2 linked regions of the Rhinolophus ferrumequinum genome follow. The protein of the gene in region 2 interacts with the protein of the main gene of each other region in a pairwise test. Links are inferred from orthologs where the notes say so. Each region holds a gene or a part of one and is shown on either strand. Other genes may lie near its edges.

Region 1 (17,086 bases), on a different chromosome or scaffold from region 2:
TATAATATGCCAACTATAACATTATATGCTAAATAATTTATAAAGTAAAAAACATAAATTCAATACATACTACAGTTGGAAAGATTAGGCATAAGACCTCACTACAATTAAAATATATGTTATAATCAGTAAAAATGAAGACAGAAAAGGGTCAGTTTCTTAGTCAGAACATCATATTGATGTATACTCCCAAATATTTTAAAAATCAAAGTAAATACTAATTGTTACATGATATATGTAACATGTTTACATATACTACATACATTTCCAATTCTAATATTTTAATTGTCAACACTATTATACACAGGAGTTAGAATATCCTGAAGTATGTACAAATATCTCATGTTCCAAATTTAGCAACTCTACTTTAATTATATTTTAGTGTCTTACCTGTTCGGAAATGAGATGTTGATTTATGATCTCCTATAACAAGACGACCAGTATGTTCTTTCTGTAAGGCAGAAAATGTATTAGAATTTAAGACCATTAATTTAACATAATTACTGAGTGTCTACTACGTGCCCAATACTAATCTAGGCTTCTGGGATACACTGCAGACAAAAGATTAAATTAAGATCCTCATCTTTATGGAACTTAGCACATTTTAGCAAGGATAGGGATGGGGAGGGGACGAAATCAGTTAAGTAAATTATAGTGCCTTAGAAGATTGTAAATGTTATTGAAATACACAAAAACAGAGCAGGGCAAAGAGGTAGAGAGTATATAGAGATCAAGTTGGAATTTCAAATGGGAAGGATAGAAAACTAGAAAATTAAGTGAATCTAAACATTTTCTTTCCTAAAAGGCCAGTTAAACGAGTTACTCTAACTTTTCCACCTTCTCTTTCTGATGCCTCAGGCATGTCTCATGGAGACAAAGCAAATGAGATTATTTAGCTAAATAAAAATGAAATTAAGATTTATAATGAACAAAGTGACAGCTCTTTAAAATATAAAAAATGAAAATAGTCATTACTGTTTACAACATATCACAATCAAATAGCTAACTCATTACTATTAGGTTGGTGCACAAGTAATTTTGGTTTTTGCAATTATTTTTAACCTTTTAAACTGCAATTACTTTTGTACCAACCTAATATTTGACTACAATGAACACTCAATCTCAAATTGTCAAAAAGAACACAATTTAAAACAATCTTAGTTCTATAGAACATAATAAATCTGATTCAAAGTTACCAATTGATTTGGATACATAATTAGTACTCTCAATTTATCAGTTCCAATCCACTATTTATGGTTCGTATCAGTTTCATAAGGTAAAGAAATAAACTGTTCATTAAAACAGAGTGACTTTGCAACCTTAATTATCTGTGAAGATAGTTAACAAATCATCCTATTGTGAAAGGATTACAGACACATTCTCCAAACCCAAAAATGACACTACTGAAAGCTTCAAGCATTAATGCTTATTGCCTTACATGCCATTAACATATAAGCAAATCAATGATTCAATATGCTGCTTCTTTACAATGCAGAAGACACCTCATTAAAAAGATAAGAATATATAATGGCACCAAATTATTCTAGGATGATAATAGTACTACATTGGTCTCTTCGTACCTTCCCAGCTAGTTCTCCTTGTGACCAATAAAATACTCATGTAACTGGCTAGGATTAGGATCTACTTTGTGGCCACAAAACAGAATAAATCTAATCAGCCTATATAAAAAGATCAAAGCTACAATCTTTGCCCTGCTAGCAAAGAATTTAATGTATGCTAAACAGCTAATTTATTGGTAGCCATATTTCTTTTTCGATCCTTCAATCTGTTATACCTTCTAGTTTTATTGAGATATAATTGACTATTGGTAGCTAAATTTCATACTTTTTGCATTAAGGTGTTCTTCCTAAGTAATTAAAGAGTTTTCATTACACTAGGTTGAGCATGCCCCCTAAACTATTATTTACTTTATATATTCTTAGCAAATTTTTTACCTGCATGACCCAAGACAAACTTCAGGCTACTTTCTATGATAAATTATAAATTATGGGAAATTTGGATTAATGAGGTATTATACAAATACTTCCTTTGTATAGGTCTTTATGTTTGTGCATCTCCTCTTCCTACCTCCAACCCCACTGTTGTAGTCTAACTCCTCATCCTTTCAGATTCACATCAATTGTGTTTCTGAGAAGCTTCCTTTATAGCTAAGCCATACAGCATAGCTACCCTTGTCTGCTGATCCCATAGCACTACATGCATAGCTCTTTCATAGCAATTATAATTCCATATTGTTATTATCTAGTTTCCTCCATTACATCATGGCTCCAAACTTGCATTATTGATCTATGTAAGCCCCACCCCAGTCCTAGTACAGTGCCCAGCATATATTGGTCAATAATTGCTGGTAAAATGCACAAATACATTTCTATATGAGTAACAAAAATACAAAGCAGAATTTTATTTTAAGGATCTTAAAAGAGAAAAAAGTTTTCCTACTTCTTCCACATTAGATTTGTAGGAAGACTACCGTGACAATGTTAGGAAAATAAATGTATTTGCTTATAAAAAAATAAACATCTAGAAAGCATGAGATTTGCATGTAAAAATGAACTGCTAAGAATAAGAAGGGTTTTTCCCCAATAGGCGATGTTTTCCCAACACCTCTATCTTTTATGCCTATTATGTTAATCAAACTGAAAGGGATTTCTCAAAATATGTTGAACATTTTAAATATTAGGTTTTTCATAAAGGCTATTCCCTTGGCTACTACCTCAAGGGCTGGAGTTATAAACTATGAAAGACCTACCAAATGGGTTTGCCCAGAAATACTTTGTATCAAATCATCAGGTGAACAAATGGCAAATCATAATCTTTAGCACCTTCTTTCTTCCACAGGTGTCTCCTCAAACCAAAAATTTGTTCTACATAGTCTCTAAACCTTACTGCCCAGAGGACATGAGAATCCTAAGAAATACTATAAATTTTTAAATGCTTGGTTAGGTCAGTTCTCTTTCCCAAAGCCTAAAATAATCTAGCATAACAGGAAAATAGGATCCAAGTATATTTCGTCCTTCTCATTTTATACAAAAAAGGACATTATATTCACAGAAAAGATAATAATGCATACTATCTGATGCTTACCTTTCCTGCACCCATAAGTCTCAAGAACTTTTGTTTTCTTTCTTCATTACCTAAGTCTGCTGCCTCCCAATTGCTAGAGCCAAGCTAGAAAAGAAATTAGTAAATTAATTTTGCATAATAATAAATATTAAACATTTTAAAGTCTACCAATAAATCCTAAGTTTTTTCCCTGTCACTTTTAACTATAAACAGGGCTCTCTCTTGTTTAGAAAGTTAAGCATGTGCATCACATTTGAATTAAAATATACAGCCTGTCCCCAACTTACGATGGTTCCACTTCATATTTTTCGAGTTTTCGATGGTGCAAAAATGATATCCACGCAGTATAAACTGGCCAGGCTAAACTTTGCTGTTTGGTACGTTAGGTTTGCATTTTTGATTTACAGTATTTTCAACTTACAGTGGGTTTATCAGGATGTAACCACATCGTAAGTGGGAAGAGCATCTGTACTCCTTTTCTGTTACCTCAAGGTAGAATCTTTTAGTTCTTTTGCAGCCAGACCTGTAATTCTCAAAAGTTTGCTTCTATCAGAATCACCTGGAGGGCTTGTTAGAACACAGACTACTTGTTAGAAACGCCAACAGTTTCAGATTCAGCAGGTCTGAGATGGGGCTTGTGGATTTCATATCTAACAAACAGTGAGGCTGCTGTTGATGTGGGGGACCCCACTTTGAGACTTACAGATCCAGAGCCTTACAGGGCCCTAGAGCACCTAGTACTGTGAACCCAGACAGCTGCCGTAGTTGTTAGTTGAAGTTAAAAAACTCTGGCTTTAGTGATATTCTAAAGGACAGTATGACATCAGAGACTACTGGACCCCATTTTAGTTTTTCAGTTTCTTTTTGAGCAGTTCTAGTTTTTGTAAGGATTAAATATGTTCAGACTTTCATTCTTAGAAGTCTTCCAACAAACAAAGAGAAAATTAATTTTTTGAAAAGGACAAAATAAAACTCATTCTATAATTATCAAATGGGTCAATCAATATAAAATATTGAACCCTTTTATAAATCCAAATATGGAATCCTAGTGCTATTTTTCCCTACATCTTGAGTAAATGTAAGAATTATTTCATTTTAATCCCCTACATCTTCAAACAAAGGTAAGAATTATTTCATTATAATTCATCATTTATTCCCAACTATGCTAAAAATGACTAAAATAATAAGAAAATAGAAAAATGGTAGAAGAGTTTTCTCATTGTGTTGTCCAAAGTATTGCATCATCTTTCAAGAATCACCCCTCTGTTGATTACTTCTAGCTTTCCTTGGACACAGCTGATAATTCAGAATTTTTCATTTCTACCCATAATGGCAAGTGGGTAAAAAAATTGAAAATTGACAGAAGGCATTTCTGAATAAATAGGTGAATGAAAAATGACAGATGGTATACTCTCAATTAATCATGGTGGAAAAATTGTATATGCAAAAATTTTAGACCGAGTTATTTGCAAGACGAAATACTAGATAACTTTTCTCCAATCCAGGAATCAAGACAGAAAAAAAAAGGGGGCGGGGACAAAAAAGATACATAATATTCTCATCTAGAAAGTCACTCAAAAGGAGGAAGGACTTTCTCTTGCAATATTTTGCAATAAGAGCCTGGACCATCCTCTTTTTCTCAAGATAACCCCCTTTCAACATAAAATCATGAGCTACCAAAGGTTTCAAAAAATTCAAGTAGTATTATATTTTGATGATGTAACTATAAGAACTAGAATAGCATCATAATAAAGCTAACATCTATTAAAAATAGATTTGAAATCTGAAATTATATGCATTTCACACATGACAACTGATAAATTGTTAGATGTATTCAGAGGATGCTAATCATTCTGGGATTATATATCATGAAAATGTGGGACAGAAATTTGGTTTTTATGGTTAAATTCATATAGGAATTTCTAATGGTTGTTTTTCACTATCCCTTTATTCTTACTTCTGAAAATTATTTGTAAAAGGCTAATAGAATATAAAACAATGATGACCATTTCTCCTGGGCTTAGGAGTTGTAAGTATTTGTACCATAATCAACATCCACTTATGACTCTTCTAAATTTCTTTTGGTGGGGGAGGTTATACGTTCTCATAATTTTGGCTACCTAAGTTCCAAATTTCTACTTTTTTCCATCTGACATCTTATTTCTTTTCACAGACCAGTTAATTCTTAACTATTTCTGGCTCAATATGTTAAAAAATAAGAATCAAACTACTAGTAAAGCTTAAGTTCTGATTCCCACTAAATTACCTGCTTTCTGTGAATCTGGACCTGGCATTTAACTTCTTAGTTTTAATTCGGTATCGCGATACCGAATTAAAAAGGCTTCTTTAATACCGAATTAAAAAGGCTTCTTTAAAAAGGCTTAAAGAGGCTTCTTTAAAAGACTGTCTTAATAACAACACCTAAAAATTGCCTCGTGTTTTACAACTTACAAACCGCTTTTCACTTACATTCTCTTAAGAGTCCATTTAATAAATGAGGACACTGAAGCAAGAGGCTAAGGGACTTGCTTCGATCCTCTGGCCTTAAGTCCTCTGCTTTTTCCACATCATACTGTACATGATCAAATGAGACAGAATATGTAAAAGTAGTTTATGAACTACAGTTATAAAGATATATAAAATTAAGTTAAAAATAATTGTCTAAAACCCCCAACTTTCTCAAACTCTCTATTAAGAGCAAATGTCATCAATGTCTTCACATAAATAACCCTATCATCTACAATTTATAATCTTCATGTTTTTTTCAATCATGAAGTCCTTCTGGTTCTTCCTTTCAAAGACCTTAGCATATAACAGCAGGTACCTTATCCAAGTGGTGTATTCTGAAAGGCACATGGGCACTTTCTTAAGAGGTTCTCCACCACTGACTAAAATTAACCTCCCCACTTCTCCTTAAAAGATAACTTTCATTTCTCCACTCCAATCAAACCAATAAAACTATTTTTAAGTTGTCAGCATTCTTAATACCCTTTACTATAGAACTGCAATGCATTTACTACCTCCAGTACATACTGCAGTTAAATTTCAGAATTTACTTCTAACATTGTCAGCATTTTCCTAGAGTTGGATTCCGTGATTTAATACCTACTTTTAACATCTTTAAAAATGTTTTGTTACTCCCATTTAACATGTGAAGTCAGTGGGCAAAGAAAACTTCGATTATCTTTTACATGCAGTGGATGTATGTTCATTAGAAACTGTTGATCAACTATGTATATATTATAATTAGTTGATTTTCTACAATTTAGATGTATTTTAAAATATTTTTAAATGTTTTAAAAACAACTACTTAACTATAACTCCCAATTACCAGCAAAAATAAAATTCATATGAAAAGAAACTGACTTAAACAAATCACTATGGAGGGATAGGTTACTGTATTGCACTGTAACATAAAATTAGCAAAATAATCAATTTTAGACAGTGTGTGAAGGTACTAGGTCCTGATTTGATTTGCAACTACAATCACCTCCTTCAAAGACAGTGAATGCGTTTAAGACTGGAAAAGGTCTTGAAGGTCATCTAATTTAAAGCGATCCCATCACAAGCTGTAGAGACTTAACTTTCTGTTAAATTACTTAATATCATCAAGAGCTTTCTGTCAATTTAAAAAATTACCTGAGTCTAGCAATACAGGTGACTAACATTCTAACAATCAAGTCACACTTAACTATCAGGAGGAAAACAATGTAATAGCTTTTAAAATGGGACCTAGGTTACTCAGAACCATAGATAAATTGCTGAAGTACTGGATTACTTACTATATTAACAAGAAAAGATCTAAAAGCCAGTTATAGGAACACAGAGCATGAATAAACCTTACTATATAACTGTTCACCCTCAAATCTCTTCTGATTACTACTCTTTCTGCAAAGCTAAAAGCAATTTCCTTAAAGAGCCTTACTTACTATTCTGGACCTAACCCCACCACCCACCCAAAAGGGGGTGGGTCTTAACATCACCTCATTTGCTACAACTGATGATGCACTAGTAGTATTTCAGTGAGCCTTTTACAATTCACATAAAAGGCACTGAATTGCACTGTAGAAAATAAAGAACTCTACACGTTCAGAATCAGAAGTTGACAGTTCTTTAAATAATAAACCGAAAGAAAACTAATGTTGTCCTTTCACCATCTTCAAAGATGACCTTTCCATGCTCCCCTCCCCAAAATTTCCCCATCAACGTTCCTAGAGCATTTATCCACTGTATGAAGGACCTAGTTGTATGTTTACTGGTTACTGCAGTCTTCATGACAATGCGCTAGAGCTAGGACAGATACACAAAACGGTCTAGGAAAAGCACATACTTATTCATCTTTGAATTCTCAACACCTGGCATAGCAGTAAATATTTAATTGACTACTTTAAGGAATGAATGGTTTGCTATTTAAACTGACAAGCTGAGGGATGGGGGGGGAGGGGACGGGAGGAGAAACGGGGAAAGGAGGGAGAAGGAGAGGGGAAAAGAGGGAGGAGGGGAGGAACTTGACATCAAAACGGACTTCCAGGTCTCAACGTCTAAGACCTCACGACCTTGCGCCAGTACCAAATTACTCCCCTGGTACAATTTTTTCGTTCAATACTGTTCTGGGTTTACTCCTAACTGTAACAGTTAAGTTTAATTCTTAACAGTACATCGCAAAAATAATCCCGGCCGGAAATCTCCCAAACTGCACGAACATCTTGACATTGTCACAGGAACGTTTTAAGCTTAAAACAGGGAGGGTCTTGCCGTTTCTATCGTTAGTAGAAATGCCCGACTAAGAGGCTTCATCAGCTCCCAAAGAGACAAATATGATCTCTCGACTATTCTCTTTCACTTCTCGACCATTCAGTATTTCGTTCCTCTATCTCCCATCCTACGCAGGCCTCTAGCTCTTAAGTGTGTGGACCTTTTCAAACCTTCCGACCCTAACTAAGGAAGGGAGACATTTCCCATTCCTCTAGGTCTTTTTCCCTCTCGTCCTACCTCCCTTTTCGGGCCACCTTAGGCGCTTCCTCCTTCTACATCCACCCTTCCCGGCCTACCCTAACTTTTAGTAGGCCTCAACCCTCATCCACTTCGCCATTGTTATTTACATCGTCGTCTGGGGAGGCTGAACGCTTCACCCCGTGCGGATGGGACTCCCTGGCAGCACTCATCGTCGCGGGGAACCCGACCGTAAATGCCGAACCGACTCGCCGTTCTCCTCAGCCGAGGCGTCAGCAGCTTGCTATCTGCCACCCGACCAAGCAGCGCCACTCCAGAACGCAGAGTCCCTCAGGCCTTCTCTGCCACAGTCGTCACGCCGCGGCCGCTAGCCACTCCAGAGCACTCTGGGAGTTGTAGTTTTCTGGCTCACTCCATACTGGCCTGAACAAGAGAGAAGGGTGAGTGACTAAAACTACAATTCCCAGGAAGCCCAGCGGCGCAGCTCGCTCTGTGTGGCGGGAGTGTCCTCTGAGGCTCCGCCTTTTTCGACTGGTGAAGGGAGCTTTCCCGCGGATGGGTATGGCGGTGAGCGTTGTAGCAAAGCTTTGTCACCACAAAAAGAGGCTTAGACTGGGTTTTCGCTTTTTGCTGTGAGACGCTGCACCATTGACATATGTATCCGTCATAGTTAAGCACCAAGGTTTAAATGTAACGTTTGCGGCTTAGTGAATCCTCACGAGTAACCTCCCAAGACAAAAACCTTAAAAAAAAATATGGCTTCTTCCATTTCCCCCCTGGTGTTCTCTATTGCTCATAGGACTCTTCAGTAGGGATTTCTAGATGACCGAGGGTACAGCTTTCTAGAAGATTCTAATAAGTATTTTGCTGCTTTCTCAATCTCCAAAATGAGTTCAGTATGGTGGTAAGTGCTGGTTAATTGGCTATTATTGAGATCCACCTGAGGAAATTTTGTAAGCTTTCCACCTGGCTTTGTGTGAAGTGGGAGTCACCTTACAGGCCTTGCTGCTGTTGTGTAGGCATTGTACTTTTGGGGCCTTCCCCTCTTTGCAGGAAAGCCCTGTATCCTTTTCCTTTTTAAAAATATTTACTTTTTTTTTTAACTAATTGAGGTGAAATTCACATTACATAAAATGAACCATTTTAAAGTGTACAATTAAGTGGCATTTAGTATATTTACGATGTGCAACTATCACCTCTATCTAGTTCCAAGACATGTTCATCACCCCGCCCCCCCCAAAGAACTTCAGTACCTATTATGCAGTCCTTCCCTATTCTTTCTTCTTCCCAGCAACAACTAACTAACTCAGAAAGCAGTTTCTAAAGGTATTATTTGGATACTGAAGATTTATTCAAGTATCAAGGTGTCTTAATTTTTAACCAGACCTGAACCTGGCTGCCTTCAACCCTAACATTCTGTCAGGAATCTTGTCCTTACTTCTTGTGAAGCTTTCTGAACCTTGATCAAAAATTTGATTTTGTTTTTAAAGCAAAAATCAGTAAGTGGGATGACAGTACATATCTACTGTGCGTTTTGTACTGAAAGCAGCTTGTGAAACGGCTTAACTATTAGCTTCTGAACTCAGCAATTATTCTAATTTGACTGCCTGTGTAGCAATAGGATTACTTTCCTAGATTTCAGACAATCACTGAGCCATTTATAGAACTATAGAAATGGGACCAGTGGAAGATAGTTCTTTATGCAGTCATACATCCAAATTGTGCTCCTATATTTTGGAAGCAAAGGGATAACAATTAGGATAATATGAAAAAAATCTCAGCTAGGGTCATAATTTATAACCAAATTAGGTCACCTTAATCAATTAGTTCTGTGGTAAAAATAAACCACAAGGAGAAGAGAAGCCCATGAGGAGAAAAAGTATTTTCTAGAAGTGGTTGCTTGCTCTTTACTATGAATTAAAGTATTTTGCCTAGTAACTATGATTCTATGAAGGTTATATAAATATAGTTACAATGAAATTGCAGTTAAGTTACAGAATTTTCTAGGATGGACTACAGTTTGCCTCCAAAGGGTTTGACAGACTATTACTATATACAATTTAGAACTCTTAGCTTTATTACCAATAAACAAATGAGATGCTCAACTAGAAGACTATGCTAAAAGAATTTTGAAATAAAAATGGACTATCAAGGCTAGTAGTTACTAAATAGTTTTAACTTTAATTAGTGAAAGTCTAGAACAGCTTATGAGCTAGCAACCTGTCTTTTATTTCTTCACCAGAATTACTGGCACCCGTATGGCTAAATCTTCAAGTTACAAAACAAGATCACAAGTCCAAAAGTAACATAGGAGATAATAAAGACTGGATCATTTAATCAGATTTTACTCAGTTTTATATACAGAAGACTATAGGTAAGGATGAAATTATACAGTGCAATAGAAATGCATAAATGGCATAGAAACTCAGCAATATTCTTCTTTCTGGTTTTGTAAAAACAAGAAGATGCTCTGTACCACGCAGAACTCTGAAATATTATTACCTTCACTGGGATTGGAATTGTTTCATCTTTATTTTTTTGTTTCTGTATCTTCTAACACAATGCCTGTTATGGAGTAGTTAATAACTTTTTTGAATTAATATAGGAAGTATGAAATTATCTAATGTAATAGAGTGGTATTTCATAAAAGGCCCAGAAACTCAGCAGTGTCCTTCTTTCTCGGGTAATAAAGACAAGGAGAGGAGACTATGTTGCTAACAGAACTTGGAAATACTTTCCTGAGGGTAGAGACCATGCTGTCCTCATTTTTTATATAACCAGTGCTTAGCATGTAGTAGGTATTCATAAATGTTTATTGAGTGCATATATTAATATTCTCTCAACCCTGGGTAGTCATAACTGAGCATAGTTAACAACCTAAAGGACAAATAAAAGCTCTGATGAATATGCTCAGTACAAAAACCTGCTACTGAGACTAAAAACAGTTCCTGGAGCCATAATTATAACTATTATTTAATATCCACTCTGCACCATACATTTTATTTATTTTTTAATTTATTTTTATTTTTTTGTTATAAATCATAAATTATTTATTTATTTATTTATTTATTTATTTATTTATTTATTTATTTTAGACATTTATCGTTTATATCCCTCACACAGTGACAACCCCCGGCCCCCATCCACTACCCCTCTGACATTACCCACAGCCATTACATTTCCACTGTCTCTCTTCCTAATGCTGTACTCCACTTCTTGTAACTATATATGTATATAAAATTGTAGTTGACGTTCATTATTGTTCAGCTTCAGCTTCAGGTGTAGAGTGCAGTGATCAGGCATCTACATCATCCCTGAGGTGGTCTCCCTAATGAGACCAGTATCTATCGGATACCCTACAAAATCTTTACAACATTATTGATTACATTCCCCAAATTGACTTTCGTATCCCCGTGGCAATCTTTTCACCATACATTTTGCTAGGTGCTTTTTATAATTAATCTCAAAACTTCACAGTAATTTGCAAGAATTTTTATTTTGTAGATAAAGATTAAGAAAATCATATAGATAATGAATAAATGGCTAAGCTGGGATTCATTCCTTAAGTCTGTCCAACTCCAAAAACCCATGAACTTTCCGGTGCTAATATAATTCAGCATTTGTATAGGGTGCTTAGTATGTATCAGGTAGTGTGCTAAATTTGAAGAAAACCGGAATAAATAATGTGTAATTCCTTACCTCAAGGAGTTTGTAGCCCAAGCTACAAAGTGTAAAAGAAACACTTGAAAAAGAAAAGGAAAAGAATATTTAGGAGTAGATTGAGGAAAAATAGCCTGAAATTAAAAGATACATGTGGAAGTAGAACGAGGTAAGTTAAGTGTCATTGAAGCCAAGGGGAAAATAAAGAATGTGTTGTTCCATTATGGGAGACTAAGAGATGAGACTTATTTTGAAGTTAATTTTAAAGGTATATACATTGAACTGTAGGGTCTAACAGAATCCTGAAGACAAGGTATAAAAAATAAATAAATGTGGTTGATGATGGTTGATGGTGAGAGATGAATTCTCATTTAGTCCATTGGTTGAACAGATTTCCCACCATGCTACTGTGATTTAAAATGTGGTGACATCAATATTAGTTTGATTATTTTACGCATACCTAGAAATTCACAAGAATAAAGAATTAAAAAGAAGATGAAAATGTATTTGCTTATAAAATTGCTTCAATAAAATTATTGTTGATGCATATCTTCTACTCTGGTCATAAGGTCTATACATACATAAAGCAGCAATATTCCAAAAGTTCAAAAGTTGTGAAAGAGAACTTATGAGCTTAAATCAATGGGTGATATCCTTTTTTGAAGGGAAAATTACAATTAGAACATTCTAGTTTTTCCTTCAAAATTACTTTGTTATTCTTGTCAATTATATAAGTAATATGTCAATACGAGGCTGGCTAAATAAATTATTATGGCAAATCCATATAGTGTACTCATTAAAAGAAAGAGGATCCTCAGATCTGGGACAGTCTCCAAGATATATTGTTGAACAAAAAAAGCAAATTGGGGAACACTATACATTTTATACTGTATTTGTAATCACACAAAAGAAAAGAATCAATGTATATGCATAAAATATTTCCACTAAAGATACCCAAGTCAGTGATAATATTTGTAGACTCCAGGCTTGGGGTGGTGGCATCTGGGATCTGAGGTACACTGGTAGCAGGGGGACTTTTCACCATACTTTTTATATCTTTTGAATTTTAAATTATCTGACAATATTAACCTATTACAAATTAATCATAAATGAATACATAAAAGTAAATTGGATTTTAAAAAGCTTAGAGTCACAAAGATAAACAGACTCACACAAAGATAAAACAAACCCATTGTAAAAAATGTGGAAAATAAAGTATAAAGAAGAAATAAAAATCACTTATAGTGTTATAGTTCTGAGGTAACCACCATTAACATCGAAGTGTAATTCCTTTTAGTTTCTTTTTTCTAGTGATTTGGAGGATATACATTTAGTTTTTAATACTATTAATGGTTACATTTTAGTTTTTACTCCACTCAAGAGTAAAACAATATCTCAGTGTCTCATGACTCCTTATACGGTGTGGGTGAAGAATTGAGCACCTTTACTTTTGCCCTATTTTCCCCTTCCTCATTCCAGTATAATATAATTTAGGTACAGATCATTGTTATTGCATTAATTTTTACATTACATGTATTTTCCAACAATAATATTTTGGCATGTGCCTTCAAGCTTTCTAAATAACAGCTTTATTGAGATACAATTCACATACCACATAATTCACCTATTTAAAGTGCACGATTAAATGTTTTTGTTTGTTTGTTTCTGTTTTGTTTGTTTATTTTGTTCTTTAGATTCCACATATAAGCGAAATCTCATTGCATCTTCTTTCACTGTCTGATACTCCTCCACTCAACACAATTCCCTCCAGGTCCATCCATGCTGCTGCAGATGGCAAGAACCCATTCCCTTCCCTGGCTGAGCAATATTCCATTATATATATATGTATCACCTGCCCTTTATCCATTCTTCCATTGAAAGACACCCAGGGTGCCTCCACATTTTGGCCATTGTAAACAATGCTGCAATGAACATATGAATGCACACGTCCCCCAGAAGTAGCGTTTGGGTTTCTTCAGATAAATATCCTGAAGTGGGATTACTGGGTCTGTTTTGTCTCTTGGTATAGCCTTTGTTTTAAAGCCTATTTTGTCTGGTATAAGAATTGATACCCCAGCTTTTTTTTGTTTTGTTTTTTTCATTTCTATTTTCATGAAATATCTTTTTCCATCCTTTCACACTCCATCTGTGTTTGTCTTTCAATCTGAAATGAGTCTCTTGTAGGTAGCGTATGTGAGTGTCTTGTTTACTTATCCATTCACCATCCTATGTCTTTTGAGTGGAGCATTTAATCCATTTACATTTAAAGTAAGTGTTGATAGATATGTAGCTATTGCCATTTTATTATTCATAATTTTGATCTTTTAAATTTTTTCCATCTTGAAGTCCCTCTAACATTCCTTGTAATACTGGTTTGGTGACGATAAACTTTAGCTTTTTCTTGTTTGGGAAGCTCTTTATCTGTCCTTTGATTCTAAGTAATAGCTTTGCTGGGTAGACTAATCTTGATTGTAGGTCCTTGCTTTTCATCACATTAAATGTTTTGTGCCAACCCCTTCTGGCCTATAAAATTTCTGTTGAGAAATCAGCTGACAATCTTTTGGGAGCTCCACTTTTTCTGGAGTTTTCTTCTTTCATTTGGGATGTATTTCTTCATTTCCTCATTTTGGCTGCCTCTCTGTTTGTTTCTATGTATTAGGTAGATCTGCTATGTCCCCCAGTCTTGGCTGGTGTCCTTATGTAGTAGGTGCCCTGTGGGGCCCAGTGGCACCCTCTCCCTGGTCACCTGCACTGGGTGCTCCAAGAGTGTCCCTTTTGTGTGTTGTATGTATCCTCCTGTTATAGTTGAGCCTTGGTTGCTCTTGGCACATTAATGGGTCGGATTATTGATCCACAGGCTGATTGGCTGTGGGGTTTGGCCCTGTCCACAGCTTACAGGCTGCTGTGTCTGGGGAGGGGCTTATCCCACTGAGTGCGATTTGCCCCATCAGGCTCTGGTGTCTGTTAAGACTGCCCTTTGGTTGTGCTCCTTGTGGGACTAATTGGGCAGTGCTCTGCTGTGGTCTGACGCCAATCTCCAAGTATGTTGGTTCTGGGGCCTCTTGTGAGGGGCTCCTTGGCAGGCCCAGGTCACCCACTGCCTGGGACTGGCCAGCTACAAAGTGATCTGAGGTTGTTCACTGCCGTGCTAACCCTGGAAGCTCATGGGAGAGGTCATGCTGCAAACTGAGGATGTCTTCCTCTAGTACTGGGCCTGGGGTAGCTCCTCAAAAAGTCAGGACAGCCTAAGGCCTGCTGCCACCTGCCCACTCCCTTAAGGTTCAGCCACTGATAAAGCCTCATGCGGTATGTAAGTTGGGTGATGCAGGGTCTCAGGGAGTCACTAGAGTGGGAAGAGTTGTTACCATGTTAATGTAAACTCTGGTTTGGTGCCAGTGCTGAGCCTGAAGCTACTAAGCAAAAGTCTCAGAGCACACCTAGGTCAGTTGCCACCCATCTGGGGTCTGTTGGACTCTGACAGTTTTCCAAGAAAGAGTGCAATTTGGATGGGGCTGGCTGCTCTTGGATAAAGTGCCTCTGACATTGGATGGGCTGGGGTTCCAGTGAGTCAGCAGGGCAGAGCTGCAGAGCTCAACAGACCAATCAGATTCAGATTTGGCTGTAAGTGTAGGGGGAGGGCTCAATACAAGAAAGATGGCACCAGCCTGCTGGCTGCATGGGAGAAGGACCCCTTACAGCGAAAATGCCAGCTGTCCTTCAGCCTTCATCTCAAAGCCACACAACTCAGTCTGCTTCCCCTCTCATCCCCCGCAGGTCTCCGACACTCTCTGAGTTACTGTCCCTCTGCTGGAGCCCAAGGTGAGTGCCTGGTAGTGAGGGCGTCTGTGCATGGGCCCTTTAAGAGGATGCCTGGGTTTCCTGCCGCCTTCTGTCCCACCCGGATAGTTGGAATCTCCACTGCTTTCCACAGTCAGATGTTGTGGGGCCTCCTCTTCCCAGCACCAGTACTCTGGGCTGGGGAGGCTGGTGTGGGGTTGGGGTCTCTTCCTCCTTTGGGGGAACCTCAGGGGCCAAGATATCCCTACTGGTTCTGAACCGCCACATGGAGTTTGGGTTAGCGAGTTCCACATCTCCGCCCCTCCTACCAGTCTCAACGTGGCTTCTTTATATCCTTAGTTACAAAACTTCTGTTTAGCCAGACTTCAAATGATTCTCCAGGTTGATTGTTGTATAATTTTAATTTGTTCACTGAAGGAAGCAGGCACAGTGTTTATCGCGCCCTCTTAAATCTCCTAAATGTTTCTTAATGTAGTCAAAGAGTTGTACAACCATCACCACAATCAATTTTATAGCATTTTTATCACCTCAAAAAGAAACCCTGTATCCATCAGCAGTCACTCCCTATTTTCTTCCCTCTCATCCAGGCTTAGGCAGCCACTAATCTTTCTGTCTCTCTAGATTTGCCTATTCTAGCCATTTTATACAAGTGGAATTATACAATATGTGATCTTTTGTGACTGGTTTCTTTCACTTAGCATACTGTTTTCAAGGTTAATTCATGTTGTAGCATGTATTAATACTTTATTTCTTTTCATGGCTAAGGTTCCATTGTATAGATATACCACATTTTGTTTATTCATTCTTCACTTCATGGGCATTTGGGTTGTTGCTACTTTTTGGCTATTATGCATAATGCTGCTATAAACATTTGTGTACAAGCTTTTGTGTGAACATGTTTTCAGTTCTCCTGGGTATATATCCAGGAGTGGAATTGCTGGGTCGTGTGAGTACTCCATGGTTAACTTTTTGAGGAATTATCAGACTGTTTTCCAAAGTTTCTGCATCATTTTACATTCTCACCAGCAATGTATGAAGGGGCCAATTTTTCCACATTCTGGCCAACTGTTGTTATTATCCATCTTTTTGGTTATAAGTATCCCAGTGGATGTGAATTACTCATAATTCCCTCAGTTTAGAAACCTAATCTTTGAGTAGTTCTGTGACAAAAGATGAGGTGTGTAAAATACCACGTATACTAATGGCTATATGTAAGTCTAGAGAGAAAGAGATAAAATCTTATTAATTTGTAACTATAGTTCTCAAAGTTTAGTGCATGTCAGAATCACCTAGAAGACTTTTTGTGCAAGTTTATGTTGTTGGGCCCGACCCTAGAGTTTCTGATTCAGTAGGACTGTGATGGGTCAGAAATTTTACATTTGTATCAAGTTTCCAGATGCTGCTGCTGGTCTGAGGACCACTGTTTTAGAACCACTGATTTGACAAACATATTGGTAATGCTTACTTTGTGCCCAGTTTCTTAAATGTTTTACATATGTTAATTTGAATAATCTTCACACAGATATATCCTATTATTATATCTTATTATTATATCCTATCATGTTAAAGATGAGGAAATTGAGAAATATAC
Region 2 (16,268 bases):
TAAGTTATATGAAGTCCCAGTCACAAATCACTGATGGTCCTCATTAGAGTTAGATGTAATTGGTTCTACTCCAAACTTAATTTCACCCATGGGAAATGAAAGGACTCCAAATAAGTTCAAATTCTAGGCCTCAGATGTTTAACTACAAAGAAAAATCGTCCATCATATTTTATAATCCATACCAAATTCCTCCACGGTGAAGGGGTGCTCTGTCCTTCCACCTGATTCCTTCTGTACCACCACATTATAGGAGCCCTGAAATGGCTCTGATGAGAGGGGAAAGGTCAATTGATTGAGGCCACTCTCTAACTTGAGTTTCTGCCATTGTGTGATGCGGTTTCCTTTGGGGTCCTATGGATACATTAATTGTAACTTACAAAAGAGCCTAGAGCATTAAAGAAAATAAAGGAAATCTATGGAAACTCTTATATCATCCACAATGAGGAAAAACGAGATGGTGATGAGTGGTGGGGAGGGGAGATGAGTAGAACCATTTAGCACTATATGAGTTTGAAAGCTTCTCCTTTAAGGACAAGTTTCTGGAATATTGTAAGAACCACTCAAATAAGAACATTTTCCTTAAATGTATTACTTTACATCAACTTATGGAATGTTTCATTTTGCTTACCTCTATGTATACTAGTGGAATCTGAAAGACAGAAGAGAAAGGAAGGAGTTTAGAATTGTTCTCAAATATTCTCAGTTCTGATTTATAAGCGAGACAGCTTTACGGAGAATAACTCTATCTGTAGTAAAACACACACACGCACACACAAATTCCAGGTTAAGTTTTACACAACTTTTTATTAATCTATTATAAGCAATTAACACATAATGTTAAGAACTTTCTAGGCTCAGAGCAACAAATGCATATGTGTTCTGCCATTCATTAGGAATGGGATTTACTAACATTATTTCATTGCTTACAGCATCCCAGTGAAGAACACTCCTTTGCTATGAAATTCTACAGATTGAGAAATAAACACTAACGGAACTATAAGTAACCGTGTTCAGACCCAAATATTAAGATGTATCACAGAATTCTTAGGTAATTCCAAGAATAAGGAGGGAATAGCTCCTCTATTATCAATGTTTATTAATTTTTAAAAATTAGTATTTGTTTATTGAGTGCCTGCCATTTGCTGTGTATCATTTTAGGCGCTGAGAATATAACAATGAACAAAAGAATAATACATCTGCTTTTATGGAGTTTACATTCTAATAGGAATGGATACATAAGAAATATACATGTAGGTATATATATGTATACACACATCTTTGAAATATACATGAGATATGTATATTTGATGTATATTTATTTGAGATATATAAGTTGATTTGTGTTTGAGATATCTATGTATTTGATATCCATTTTCATCTGTATCTATATATCTATATCTATCAGGTAGTGGGTAAATACCAAGATAACATAAAGCAGGATTAAGCTGATAGAGTGAACAATGAAGTGCTTGATTTTTAGATAGAGGAGTGAAAGTAGAAACCAGGAGACCAGTTGCAAGACTATTGCAATAGCCTCTTAAGAGGGGATATTGCCCAGGACGAGGCTGTGGTATGCAGGTGGTAAGAAATAGTCTGGATACATTTTAATCTAACATGATTTTCTGACGATGTGGATGTGGGAGTGAGAGAAAGAGAACAAGTGAGGACTATGCCATAATCTTTTGTTTTAGGAGCCAGAAGAAAAATATTGCCCCTTTTTAAGAGAGGAAAATGTAGTGGAGGAATAGATTTGGAAAAGAAAAATTAAAACTTTGGTTAGATATAGCCATTGAAATTGAAAGAGTTGTTTCTTATCATAAATATCAAGTGTTAGTCCGCAGAAACAAACATTCATTTCACTCATCTTCCTTTATAGAAGAGGTTTTGGTAGGTGTGTTTTGCAAAATTCTATATCTTTGAAAAGTTACTTGAACTTAAGTTATTTGATAGTTTGATGGTTTAGTGTGCCTATTGCTCAAAATATCTTTCTAATTTGCCTAATTGAGAACTTTCCAAAGAGTACATTTAATTGGGTGACAACTAAGTACCAGTACCAAGATAGAGAGGATTGACTACTTTATTGCTGTGATACTGTTTTAAATGAGTATCTTGCAGTATTGTAATGCCAGAAAGTACTGTTATCAATACCAGATTCTTCTTCTATCTGGTCCTCCCCCAATGCCAGAAACAGGTTTCCAGCCTGTTTATACAGATAATAATGATTCTATATAGATATTAGGGACTCACCAACTCATTCAGGGGGTGAAAATTTTCATCCAGCGATACAACACGAAACTTCACTGAAACAGAAATATTTTCCATGAGTCCCAGAAATCTTAAACTAGGTTGGTAAGACAAATTATTATGGAACAAGGATTACAGGGCTTTTGACTGGGGAATAGGCAGGAGAAGAAGATCTTTCCTTGTTGAAGTAGTCCTAACTGTAGGCCTCCTTTTACCTGTCTGCCCTGGTTTGTAGATGGGTTTGTCTGTCTGGACAAAGACCAGGCTCTCATGGTTTTTAACCAACACTGTGGTCCGCCTCTTGAATTCTTGGGTTGGTCCTTTCACTTGGACAGTGAGGAACATTACCTCTTCATTGGATGAAGATCTTGGTACCTGAAATACAGGTCCCAGGAGAGATTCTGAGAATCCATTCAGTCTTCCACGTTCCCTTCCCACCCTGTTCCACTCTTCCCTGTAGATCTTGCCGCTCCTACTTAACCTCTCTCCCTCATTCTTACCAGGGAAAATTGGCATGGAAAGGAGTTACTTCTGTCATTTTACAAATGGGAAGAGAGAACACAAGATGAAGGAAAATAGATCAGTAAGATCAGAAAAATCATAAGTGAGACTCACATCACCTTATAGATCAGCCAATACAGTCTCAGTTCAATTACATACTGAACTTTCCCAAGTTGGAATGTGATAAAAGTGCATGGTAGAAGCATATTTTAAAGTTATGAGAAAGAAAATCACAATATTTTATTGCTGCAGGTTATAAGCATTTTACATATGAGTAACACTGAAGAGTTGTTGGATCATCATAATTTCTACAACTTTCTCTCTTAGAGAGTATGGGGTGATGTATTCCTGTCAGCCCACCACTGAGGCTCATGTTGAGTATTGGCATAATTTGTTTTATTAATATCTTCCCATTTTAATTTTAAGGAGAAGTCACATTTTCCCTTTGTCTAGTGCATATTGCTTCTTTTACTGGCTAGTAGGAATTTTCTTTGATCATTAAGTTGATTTTGTGTGTGTGTGTGTGCATTAGTAGTTTATTCATTTATGCTGTTTAGTAATATTCCATTGTGTGACTACATAATAGTTTTTCTTTATTAATTTCTAAGTTGATTTTTAATATGCTGTAAGTATTTGCTTCCCATGGTTGGAAATTTATGCATTGCTTCTTAATTTCTACAGTTAGTTGCTACATTTAGATTCCTTCCTGGAGTCCCTGACAGCCTCTGAAAGCCTTGTCTTGGCTGAACTCTCGATCTCTAGGACCCTGACCAATAGAACTAAGTATATTAAGTCAGTCATACTCACAGTGAAGGAGACACAGTGGAATAAGTCCTTCTCGGCCACCAGGTCAGTGAAGAGACTCCTATTCTCCCTGAGAGATTCCAAGGAAGCTCTTACTGTCACCGTCTCATTCAGATGGCTCAGAAGGACACAGCCCTTCTCAGGGGTCTCAGTGTGGAGCAGAGAGGGGACAAGCACCATATACTGTCTGGAAATGGGGGAGTCCAGTCAGAGGAGAGTGTAGGAGGAAAGGCATTGTTATCAACAGCACTGCTTTCCTTCAAAATTATTGTTACTCTCATTAGTTCTATACCAAGAGAAGACATTGATGAGGATAAAATTAATCTTTGTTTTTGAATGGCACATATGAGAATTATTCCCCAGTTCATCATGAGTACCATGGCAGCGAACATTTTGCTTGAAGTAAGCCTTACATAGGTTAAAATTTGTAGGTATACCTTACTGTAAGGAACCCCAAAAATGTAAGCATCTGAACTCAAATTAAAAATATGCTAATTATATATTGTAAATCTATTTTACATTGGGATTCGTGTAAAAAGCAAACAAGCTTTCAGGTGGGACACTACAGAAACCAATCAATTTGCAGAACTTTCATTGAGTATATTTATATATTCAATAGCCCTGTGAAAATGGTATGGCAAGTACTTGTTTTCCACTTTACAGATGTGCAATCTGAGGCTTAAAGCAAGTGAGACATTAGTTTAAAGTCTCAGTTGTGACAAGCAACTACTGAAACCTTAGTGTGTTACCTAACCCTGATGTTTACATTTTAAATATTTGCCTTTCAACTCATGACTAGACAATAGTTCCACTCAAAAATGGCCTTCTAGTGATTGAATTTTGGGTCTTGATAACTCATGAGCAAATCAGAAACTTTCCCAGTACCCTCATATATAATTTTTTTGACCTGTAGTTTTCAAACATTTTTGCTCACAGAACTCTCAAAATAATTTTTAGACAGTATGTATTCCTTACATATTTTAAGGAGACATCTATTTTTTCTATCACAAGTATAAATAATAGCAAAAGATATTATTTATGATGCTATTTTAAGTTAAAACTTGTATTACTCTTGTATAAGTTTCCCAGGGAATTTTAAATATCATAGTGATATGATATCCAATATAAATTATTTTTTAAAATACATCAACATATTCTTTTCATAATGATCAGTAATTTAACATCTTTTCTTTTTTTTTCTCCTTAAACTTAAATTTTCATGCCACTAACCACACAGAAGTTTATACTAAGATTTTTATGCTTCAAAATACTTTATGGATCACTCTTCCTTTAATAACAAGTATATACATAAATGTACATATATATATATATATAATATTATATGTGGGTATATAAATTTAATTTTAACTCTTAAATTTAATGTGACCATAACATTATAAATGTTGAACATTTTCTTCTGGATTGAATTATTTTCAAAAGTCTTACTCATATACAACTGATCAAAACAAAATAAATATATGACAAATTATAATTCATACGTATTAGATATAAAATCAGAATACTTTTGAAGCACACTTTTAAAAAATGATGAGCTGTTTTTATATATCCATGGATGGATAGTCCTTATTGTAAGAATTAAACAAAGCCTAACATTAATTCTGTTGCTATTTTTGGTTTGTGTAGATGTAAGTGACATGAAAAATTATTAACATAAAAGTAAATAAATGACAGATAAAGCAGTTATATCATTATTATCAGTTCTTGTAACACCTCTGCATCACATGCCAAAAATCACCCAGTGCCCTATTATCAAGAATGACTTCTAATTATCTATGAGCTGGTATTTCCTTTAGATCTTCCATCAATTTTGTTGAAACAAAGAACTTGTCACCAAATGATCTGCAAAAGGATTTTCTCCCCCATCCTTAGAATCCTTTGCTTTCTCAACATCAATGTCAATATTTCAAATTGTTCCTTTCTTTGGCACCCTAAAGATTTTTATACTCCAAGACAATGCTCCATGGTGATATCTGATTGAGGGAGAGGTCTGTCTTTCTTTTATTAAGTGAAAGGTGGGCAATTAAGTAAGGGGAGGTAAGAAAAAATAAATAGCATGGCCTCAAGCAGGTTAATATGAATGTGAGGAACTAAAAATTCATTCCTTTAAACATATTAATTTCCAATTTTCCTTAGATAGTCCTTCTGTATCCCCAGAGAATTTAGAAATTCAGAGATCCAGAGAATTGGAAAAAAAATGGTTAAGAATAAGTGAAAAATGAATAAACCAGACTTATGAAATCTCATTATTGGAAGAGACCTTAGAGATAAGAAATTGATAGTATTATAGGAAAGAGAAATGAATAATACCGAGGAGAACCTGAAATAGAGGAAAGGACTCTTTTTTTTAACACTTAAAACTGCATATTAATGAATCAAGCAGGAGTTTATAACAGATATATAAAGTGGTTGCTGCACAGAGTATTCCAATTCATAGCAGCAAAAAATAAAGAAAGGACTCTAAGTTTATGCTCTATGTGAAACTCACGGTTTTCCAGAGACTGATGCATCTGTAGGCAAAAAGATCAGAAGGAGGAGAATAAGACTTGGATGAAGGAGTTTGTCCTTCCCCATGCTGCAGGGTGAAGGGGCCAGAGGAGACCAGACTGTATTGTACCCTACTCCCTGCAGTAGGTCTGGTTTGAAGCATTCTTCAGAGGGGTTTTATAAGCAACTGGGTTTTATATTGCTCTCTGAGCAAGCAGGAAGTTCCACCCCCACAATGTGTCTAAACAAAGGAGAAGTCTCTAAACTTTTTGGAAGGGTCATTGCTCTCAGGGGCCTAATTACAGTCAAGGTTAATTCCCAGCCAGCTAAATAGAATTCCTGGAGGGATAAAATCCATATCCCATAAATGCTCACTTTCTCTGGGTTTTACTATAATGCAGCTGATCAGCTTTTCAAACCTTTTTCTCTCTTACTCTCCCCTCCACAAAATCTTTTATGCCTTTTCTCACATCTCTTGCATGAATAGTTAGTAAGGGAAGCTACAATTTAAGCAATACTGGACAGGCTCAAAATAGATTTTTTACTGCAAGTCAGTAGCCTACCGTAAATGTTGAAGTGGTTTCAGAATTCAGTAATCCTCTATGGAAATGATACTGGATTAGACTAATAAATTTTAGACTTTAGGGATATTACTGGATTGCAGGTGAAGAGCTAGGCCCTGGAAAAATGATAATTGAAAACATTTTCCTGTATTAAGAAAGTGAGAAGAGGGAAGGAGAAGTAGACAGACCTCATAAATAAGCTTTGACCTACTGTGCCTAACAGGGATCCCAGTTGCCTTTACCATCTACTATATAAACCATTTTTGTTACTGACTTCTAAATATGCTGGTCCTTACCAATCTTTAGTCATATAAACTGTTTCATCCATCCATTCAATCATCCATCTATTTGGTTGTTCTATAAGTATTTATTGTACCTGGTAGGGACAGTATCATGCAAAATCATGGAGATGGAATGGCAGTTATGTAGGTGAGAGACGATGGTGTTTTGAACTAGGGTATTCATAATGAGTTTGGAAAGAGGTTGATGTATATCATATTTAAGAGGTAAAATTATAGTATCCACTGAATATATGAATGTGATGGATAAAGGATAACGTGCCTTTCAATTTTCCTGTCTGGTTACTGAATGAATTGTGTTGCTTTTAACTGAGTGAAACAGGAAACACAGGATGGGAACAGGAGGAGGACAGAGAGCTGAGGGTTAGAAAGATAAAGAGTTTAGTTTTAGAAAGTGCTAGTGGGATACAAGTATTAATATTCATTGAGAGTTTAACATTTGCATTTAGAGCTTACAGCAGTGAGGTCTAATAAAAATAAATATGAGTCACCTATGTAAATTTACATTTTCTGGTAGTCACATTAAAAAACAAAAAGAAACAGATTAATTTTAATAATGTACTTTATGTAGCTCAGTATATCTAAAATATTATAATTTCAACATTTAATCAATGTAAAAATTGTTAATGAGATACTTTACATTTTTTTTTTGTACTACGTCTTTGTAATCTGGTATGGATTCTGCGCTTACAGCACCTATCAATTTAGATTAGACACATTTCAAGTTTTCAGTTGCTCATGTGGCTACTGATTACTATATTTGACATAGTAGGTTTAGAGCAATGTTTTTCAAATATAGGTCACCGTCCATAGTGAGTTATGATATCATGATTAGTGAGTCATGACCAAGGTTTTACGAAAAAAATAGTGGGGCAATTAATTTTTCTATTCAAATTCAAGCAGAAAATGAGTTTTCATCAAACGTTTAAAATTACCCTCTTACATATTATGATGTTTTAATTGTTTAATGTTTTCACTGCATTCCTGCAATTCTTTCACCTTGCACACTGCAGAAATGTCAACTTTTATTCAAAGTTTAAGTTGGCAATGGGACACTAAACAATAAAGGAATAAATCAAGGGATGCAAATAAAAAAATATAATATAATAAAATAGAAAATATAGTGTATCAAACAGAAACAGTGAGTTTGGAAACATCTGTTGCACATAGTTTCAGCAGAAACTGTTGGTTGTGTTCTATTGCCCCTTCTCCAATTGTATCTTTCATGCTATAGCTCCTGAGTTTAAGCTAGGCACTGTCTAGCTAAAAACATTCATTTCTTTCTGGAAGTCAGTATTGCGTATGACTAAGTCCTGGTGAGTGGAGTGTGAGTGGAAGTGATGTAGGCCGCCTTCAGTTCATGACTTACAAAGGATGGGTTAGATTCTGTGCTACTCCCTCTTCCTGACCGCTGGCTGGAATGTAGACATGATCACTGTAGTCAGAGCTTCTATTGTATGGTCTACATAAGATGGAAGCCATGTGATGAGAAAGGCAGAATATCATGCATGACACAGTCTGAGTCCCTAAATCATCCAAAGGCCATTGTAGCCTATACTTTCACTTAAGGAAAAATACTTCTTATTTAAGCTATTGCATTTCGAGATCTATTTATTAGAGCAGTAAAACTTGTATCCTAACTAGTATCATTTCTCTTTCTTTATTACTATCTCTATCTGATCATCTTTATCCTTAACTGTGACTGTCCTAGGTTACAATGTAAAAAATATATACTTTGTGAAAATGTGATCACAGTATTACATTGTGAACTAATGAACAACCTTTGTTATTGTAGGTTAAAGTGAAAGCAATCTGAACACCACCAGTTTACTGAGATCTGGCCTACTTATACAGATTAAAGATTTATCAGCTTATTGGGAAAGCTGATGCCATGAAAATAGATGATAATACTGACATAGCATATGCTGATAAAAAGAGAAAGAGCCCAGGATAGCACCTTAAGAAACACCAGTGTCTAAGTGATGGGCAGGGGCACAGAAATGGAACAAGAAGGGAGAGATAGAAATAGAGATAGAGATAGGGATAGACAGAGAGAGAGAGAGAAACAACCAGGAAAGGGTGGGAACTCTGTCCCAAAGAAGGGACAATTTTAAGAAAAGAATAGTTAGGAAAAGATTTTTACTAGTCAGAGTGATTGGGGCTTTATGCCAAGACATCAATGTTAATACCACATAAAATAAAAAAAAAATCATTTCAAAAGTATGCATGATTTTATAATGTGTTAATTCAAAATAGAACTTCAATTGTTCTTAAGAATCTAGACATAACTAAACACTTATTCGTAAGATTAGTTACTTAAAGTAGGAGGTGGACCAATAACATTAATAACATTCATTTGGTTCCTTGTCATAAATTACAATGATGATCAGTAAAGATTGTTATGGCTTAAATCCCTGTCTAGTCATCTCAAATGCTACTGTGAAATCAAATAACAGGTTGAATGACCATTATTCTGCTGGATTTAGAGACAAGAAGCACATTGGAACCCAGCTGTTTCAGTGTCTGTAGGACAGACACGTGATTGCAGCTTGTGAAGACCTGGAACCAATGTCCCAGAATTTGTCTGAAGGGGAGGAGAACGATAGGGCAGAGATGTTGAGCTGAGAGGGAGGTTTCTTTAAGAGGAGAGAGAATTGAACAAGTTTAAATGAAGTGTTGCTTCTATAAATGCTGAGTGGGAGGATCAAATGAAAGGGGACAGGTTGGACATTGTGGAGTGAGAAGCGACAATCCCAAGAGAAAGGACTTTGAGGATGAGTGAGGTGGATGTATTAATAAAGTGGATGGAGGAGTTATCCTCAGGAGAAGTGACACCATTTCAATATAATCATAGATAAAGATAAACGTTAGATCTGAAGTGCTCCTTTCACCAGGATAGAGCTTACTCTTTTTGGGAAGAAGGAAAATGAGCTGGAGGGGAAAAAATGACTGGATCAGGTGTCGGGACACCTGAGTCCTGGTTCTTAGCCTGGGTAACTTGACTGGTTAACTGCTCTGAGCCTCTTGCCAAAAAGTAAGGGGATAATAATATGTGTATTATCACCTTCATGGGGTGGTTTTACACACGATGCTAGATGTAACAGAGCTTTTAAAACTGTACACCTGACTATTGGTGAAAATTAATATATTTTGAATCTTTATGAGTGAGGAAGAGCTCTATTTCATACCTGGTCTGGGCCTTGGTATACGACGGCATCCAAATCAATAAAGTTATGTTACCTGAGTAAACAAGTCCTTGACAGAAAAGAGGAGACACGAATTGGACAAGATCTGTACAACTTTGAAGGATTTAGCAAAAATTTACTGTTAGAAAGTTAAGGTGAACGGGTAAGAGAGAAAAGGAAGAGAAAAGTAGAAAGGAAGTTCACGGAAAACAAAGTAAGGGAACAAAAGGCAGGAAAACACACGCCATTAAGAGCAAAGGAGGATTCTTAGGAAATTGAGAAAAAAATAGGAGTAGGAGGTATATGGGCCTTAATAAAAATAAATGGAAAAAAATATTTTCCCTTGTACTGTTGTAGAGCTTGCCAGAAACTGAATGGATCATCTCCAAGAGCACCAATTGTTACATTTCGTTCTCTTTGGCTGAGAAAAGAGAAGGTTTAGGCTGGTGTAGTTCCTAATGGTAATGATAATGAGGGATATTTCAGACATTTCAGCTGGTTATATATTAATCACCATCAAAACCAAAAAGCTTGGTTAATGGCATTGGATATTTACTCTATCAGAGAGTGTATTTGCTTTATCTCTGCCTGAGATAAAGGCAAATAGGTATCCCCAGAGATGTGCTCAAAGATCAGAGTGTTCTCATTTGTGCTATCTCATTAATCCCCTTTTAAAATCTTAAATGAGAAAAATATTTGAATGTACAGAGATAAAAAGCATAACAAACCCTCAGATTATTTCTATTCAAACAATATGCTTGCCATAGTTTCTCAAAATTATCAAAGAGTTCAGTGTTTTATCTTTTAAATTAAAATCCATTTGGTCCTTTAGTTTTCTAAAGTATACTGATATTCACACAAAATCTATTTTACTGGATTCTGCCTTGTGATACAGAGGAATTAGTGCCTGACTTAAAACAGTTTACTACAAACAATAGCATTCAATGACTGTTCTTCCATACACATACTTTTGGACATGTAAAATTATTTTTGTGTAATGAAACTGTACTGTGAATTTGCTATGTCAAAGAGTATATGCATTTAAAACTTTTTATAGCTATTGTCACGTTGCCTTTCTAAATGACTGCCAGTTACCTTCTATCAACATGACTAATCCTTGAGGATTAGTGATGCTGAGCACCTTTTCATATATATATGTATGTCTTCTTTTGAGACATATCTATTCAGATCCTTTGCACATTTTAAAGTCAGGTTATTGGTTTTTTGTTTGTTTGTTTGTTTTGCTTTTGAGCTATATGAGTTACTTACATATTTTATATATTAACCCCTTTTCAGATATATAATGAGCAAATACATTCTCTCATTCCATAGGTTGCCTTTTCACTTTGTTAATTGTTTCTTTTGCTGTGCAGTTACTTTTTAGTTTGATGTAATCCCATTTGTCTATTTTTGTCTTTGATGTCTGTGCTTTTGGTGTCATATCTGGGAAATCATTGCCCAGTCAAATGTTTGCAAGCTTTTCCCCTTTGTTTTCTTCTAAGAGTTGTATTGTTTCAGGTTTTAAAGTTAAATCTTTAAATCATTTTGAGCTGATTTTTGTATGTAGTGTGAGATAAGGGTTTAATTTCATTCTTTTGCATATGTGAAAAGTTGGCATAAGTGGAGCAATTTTAAAATGGAGTTGGGCAGATATTCCAGAGGAACTGCATTATATGTTTTACTCCTGGAACATTTGGAATGTTTAAAGTGGGCAAAATAACCTTTTGACTGGGCTAGAGCATTGTCTTCCAAACAACTGTTTGTAAAGCTAACAGGAAAGCAGACTACCTGACTACGAGGGCTAATTATAAACATTCTCTAGAATTAGTGAATAGCCATATATAGCTAAAGAACAACTTAGCTTATTAGCATCAATAGAAATTCCTTTCTTCTACTTGTGTAATTATTTTCTTTCTTTTAAAAATAAACCCCCTTTGCCTTCACCCCATAATCAGAACACTAGGTTTCTGCCTGAAACAGTGCTTCCTGAATAGCTATTTTTTGATCTCAGATAAATACTTGTTGCCTGCCACTTTTTATTTTTAAGGTTAACACATGTGTAAATCCAGTTTTCCCAACACCATTTATTGAAGAGATTATCTTTTCTCCATTGTGTATTCTTGGCACTCCTGTTGAAGATCGGTTGACCATATATGGAGGGGTTATTTTCTGGGCTCTCTATTCTGTTCTATTAGTCTCTATGTCCTATTTTATGCCAGTGCCATACTATTTTGATTACTATAGTTTTGTAATATGTTTTTAAATCAGGCAGTATAATACCACAAGCTTTGTTTTCCTTGTTCACAATTATTTTGACTATTTGGGGTCTTTTGTAGTCCCCAGTGAATTTTAGGATTAATTTTTCTATTTCTTCAAAAAATGCTACTATTGGGATTTTGATAGGGGTTACATTAAATTTATAGATCGCTTTGGGAAATATGGACATTTTAACAATATTAATAGTCGCAATCCTTGAACACAGCGTGTCCTTCCATTTATTTGTGTTTTTAAAGTTTATTTTATCAATGTTTTGTAGCTCAGTATATAGATCTTCCACCTCCTTGGTTAAATTTATTCCTAAGTATTTTATTCTTTTTGGTGCCATTGTAAGTGGAATTGTTTTCTTAATTTTCTTTCAGATAGGTTGTTTTTAGTGTATAGAAGCACACTGATTTTTATATCCCACAACCTTACTGAATTTTTTTATTAGTTTCAATAATTGTTTGTGTGTGTGTGTGTGTGTGTGTGTAGTTATATATATATATATATATGATCATAACATCTGTAAACAGAGATAATTTTATTTCTTCCTTTCTAATATGGTGCCTTTTACTTCTTTTTCTTGCTTAACTGTTCTGGCTAGGACTGTGACCACTATGTTGAATAGTAGAGTAGAGAGTAGATATCCTTGTATTTTTGTGGGTTTTAGAAGGGAGTTTTCAGATTTTTACTGAGTATGATGTTAGCTGTGGGCTTTTCATAAGTTTTTTTTTTTTTTTTAGTGTTGGAGTAAGTTTCTTATATACCTAATTTATTAAGAGTTTTCAACGCAAAAGTGTTTTGAATTTTGTTAAATGCTTTTTCTGCACCCATTGAGATTATCATGTGATCTTTTATTTTTCATTCTGTTAATGTGGTGTGTTACATTGATTGATTTGTGTATGTTGAATGAACCTCACATACCAGGGATAAATCCAACTTGATTATGGTGTTCAATTCACTATGTTAGTAATTTTCTTTTTTTTTATATAGAATTTTTGCATCTATGTTCATCAGATATATTGGCCTGTAGTTTTCTTTTCTTGTGATGACTTTTTCTGACTTGGATATCAGGATGTGGCTGTGTGGCTAAATTCGTAAAATGAGTTTAGAAGTGTTCCTTCTGCTTCTGTTTTTTAGAAGAGTTTAAAAAGAATTGGTATTAATTCTTCTTTAAATGTTTAGTAGAATTTACCCATGAAGCCATCTGGCTCTGGGCTTTTCTTTGTTTGGAGGTTTTGGATTACTCCTTTAATCTCCTTATTCATCTGTTCAGCCTATTTCTTCATGATTCAGTCTTAGTAGGTTGTGTCTCTAGAAATTTCTCCATTTCTTATAGGTTGTCCAATGTATTGGCTTATAATTGTTTTAATAGTTTCTTATGCTCTTTTCTATTTCTGTGAGAATAGTTGTAATATCTTCTCTTTCATTTCTTATGTTATTTTGTGAATAACTTCTTTCTTAGTGTAACTAAGGGTTTGTCGATTTTGTTTATCTTTTCAGAAAACAATTCTTAGTTTTATCAATTTTTAAAATTAGTTTTCTTTCCCTATTTTATTTATTTTTGCTATAATCTTCATGCTCTTCTTCCTTCTGCTTATTTTGGGTTTAGTTTGCTCTTCATTTTCTAATTTCTTGAGGTGTAAAGTTAGCCTGTTTATTTGATATCTTTCTTCTTTTATATCATAAGCATTTATTGCCATAAATTTCCCTTGGAGTATTGCTTTTGTTGTATCCTTAAGTTTTGGTTTGTTGTGCTTCATTTTTGTTTGCTTAAGATAAGTTCTAATTTTCTTTGGATTTTTCCTTTGACCCAATATTTGTTTAAAAGTGTATTGTTTCATTTCCATGTATTTGTGTATTTTCCCATTTTCTTCCTATTATCAATTTTTAGTTTCATTCCATTGTGAGTGGAAAAGACAGTTGGAGTAATTTCAATCTTCTTAGAGTTGTTTTATGACCTAGCATGTAATCTATCCTCTATCCTTGAGAATGTGCCATATGTACTTGAGAAGGATGAGTTGTGTGGAATGGTCTGTATGTCTGTTAGGCTCAATGAGTCTATGGTGTCTATGACTGATGTCACTCACAATATTTTAATTTTTACTAGAGTGTTAAAAATGTTAATTTTTATTACATAAAATAAGTTGAAGATTTCTTATAATTAGAATAAATATTTTATGATATAATTTTATAAATGGAACTTAAATGATCTGATTAAATTTCATGCACTATCTTTCTTACTTGAAGCATGTCTCAATATGTTGACTATATTTGTAGTTTCAGGTTCTCTCTTGTTTGTGAAGCATTTGGAGTTATGAATCTTCCTAGATTCTTTACACTTTTCTTTATAGTTATTTCCTCTAAGTCTAATTTTTTTAGTCTAAGGCATTTTTAAATGATTCATTTACTTTGAGTTTTTCCAATGACTTCAACATACTTTTTATATAATAACTGAGGTCCTTTTCTATATTTGTATTTTATCATTTATGTAATTTATTACCAAAATTTGTAATTATATAATGCAACTCTATGACAGATTTGGCAATATACCACAGTGATTTTGAATAAGCATATAACTCAAGTGTCAGAAGCAAAGGTTTGTGGAGATATTATAAATTATTATTAAATAAATATTGTTTAAATCTCACTGGTTTCATTTTCTGAAATGGAGACTATTATTTTATCTGGTGAATCTTTTAAGTGAAGGCCAGTTAAGAAAGTTTTTACCATAATTCATTTAAATGTTATGTAAATATGATATTCCATGGAAACTTTATTTCAAAGGAGTAACAACTGTTAAGTTTTCATGTTTAGGACAAATTTAACTCTATGAAACAGCCCTTCATGTGACAGTACCTTTTGAGAGAAAAACTCGAGTTTTGTCTGCTGTTTCTCCTGTGGCTCATCTTTGTATGAACCAGGTCTTGGTATAGGCTTCTTCATTTTTGTAGTAGAATATACAATTTATCACAAAACTTCTTATAGTTTGTAAGAATGCAATTAATTTGTAAGTTAAGAGGCAGTTGTTGTCCCACTAGGTTTCTCTGGCAGAAGCTGGGGTTGGGTGTCTGGAGTCAGGAGGTATTTCATCCTTTCAGTAACACATTTTTGAAGGCTGTGAAATCTATTTACTGTACTATATATTTAGGTTTCTACTCCAAATATTTCCAGTCTATACAAATTATTGTAATAATAATGTACATGGAAATGTAGATGTGAATTTTTATTTTCCTTTTAAATCATCTTAACTTTTCTTAAATGGACAGTTCAGTAGTATTAAGTATATTTACATTTTCATAAAGCAGATTTCCAGAACTTTTTTATCTTGAAATCTGAAACTCTATACCCATTAAATGACAACTTCCCCTTCCCCCCTTACCCCAGCTCCTGATAACTACCATTCTACTCTCTATTCCTATGGCTTTGATTACTTTAGATATTTCATATAAGTGGACTAATACAGTATTTGTCTTTTTGTGACGGGTTGATTTCACTTAGCATAATGTCCTCACGGTTCATCCAGGTTGCAACATGTGACAGGATTTTGTTCTTTTTTAAGGCGAGTAATATTCAATTGTATGTCTATACCATATTTTGTTTATCCATTCATCCATCAATGGACATTTAAGTTGCTTTACTTTTTGACTATTGAGAATAGTGCTGCTATGAATATGGGTGTGCTAATATCCATTTGAGAACTTGCTTTCAATTTTTTGGGGCATATACCAAGAAGTAAGATTGCTGGATCATATGATAGTTCTAGTTTTAAGTTTTTGAGGAGCTGCCATACTGTTTTCCATAGTGGTTGCACTGTTTTACAATTCTACCAATAGTGCACAGAGTTCCAATTTCTCCACATTTTTTTCTTTTTCAGTAGTGGCCATCCTAATGGGAATGAGGTGATA

What was found.
Region 1: the proteins of A2M (region 2) and C11H11orf58 interact in a two-hybrid assay, tested with the Homo sapiens proteins (2 studies listed by BioGRID and IntAct). The link is inferred for Rhinolophus ferrumequinum from reciprocal best matches to the Homo sapiens genes A2M and C11orf58.

Annotation. Positions count from the first base shown.
Region 1 is NC_046294.1:36,839,039-36,856,124, forward strand, and holds the start of C11H11orf58 (small acidic protein), read right to left. Parts: upstream 8,397-17,086; 5' UTR 8,250-8,396; coding exon 8,187-8,249; intron 3,608-8,186; exon of another isoform or gene 3,551-3,607; coding exon of another isoform or gene 3,506-3,550; intron 3,190-3,505; coding exon 3,106-3,189; intron 452-3,105; coding exon 391-451; intron 1-390.
Region 2 is NC_046293.1:25,190,872-25,207,139, forward strand, and holds the start of A2M (alpha-2-macroglobulin), read right to left. Parts: upstream 6,228-16,268; 5' UTR 6,142-6,227; coding exon 6,056-6,141; intron 3,737-6,055; coding exon 3,553-3,736; intron 2,620-3,552; coding exon 2,460-2,619; intron 2,301-2,459; coding exon 2,248-2,300; intron 650-2,247; coding exon 629-649; intron 352-628; coding exon 183-351; intron 1-182. UniProt on the Homo sapiens protein: Is able to inhibit all four classes of proteinases by a unique 'trapping' mechanism. This protein has a peptide stretch, called the 'bait region' which contains specific cleavage sites for different proteinases.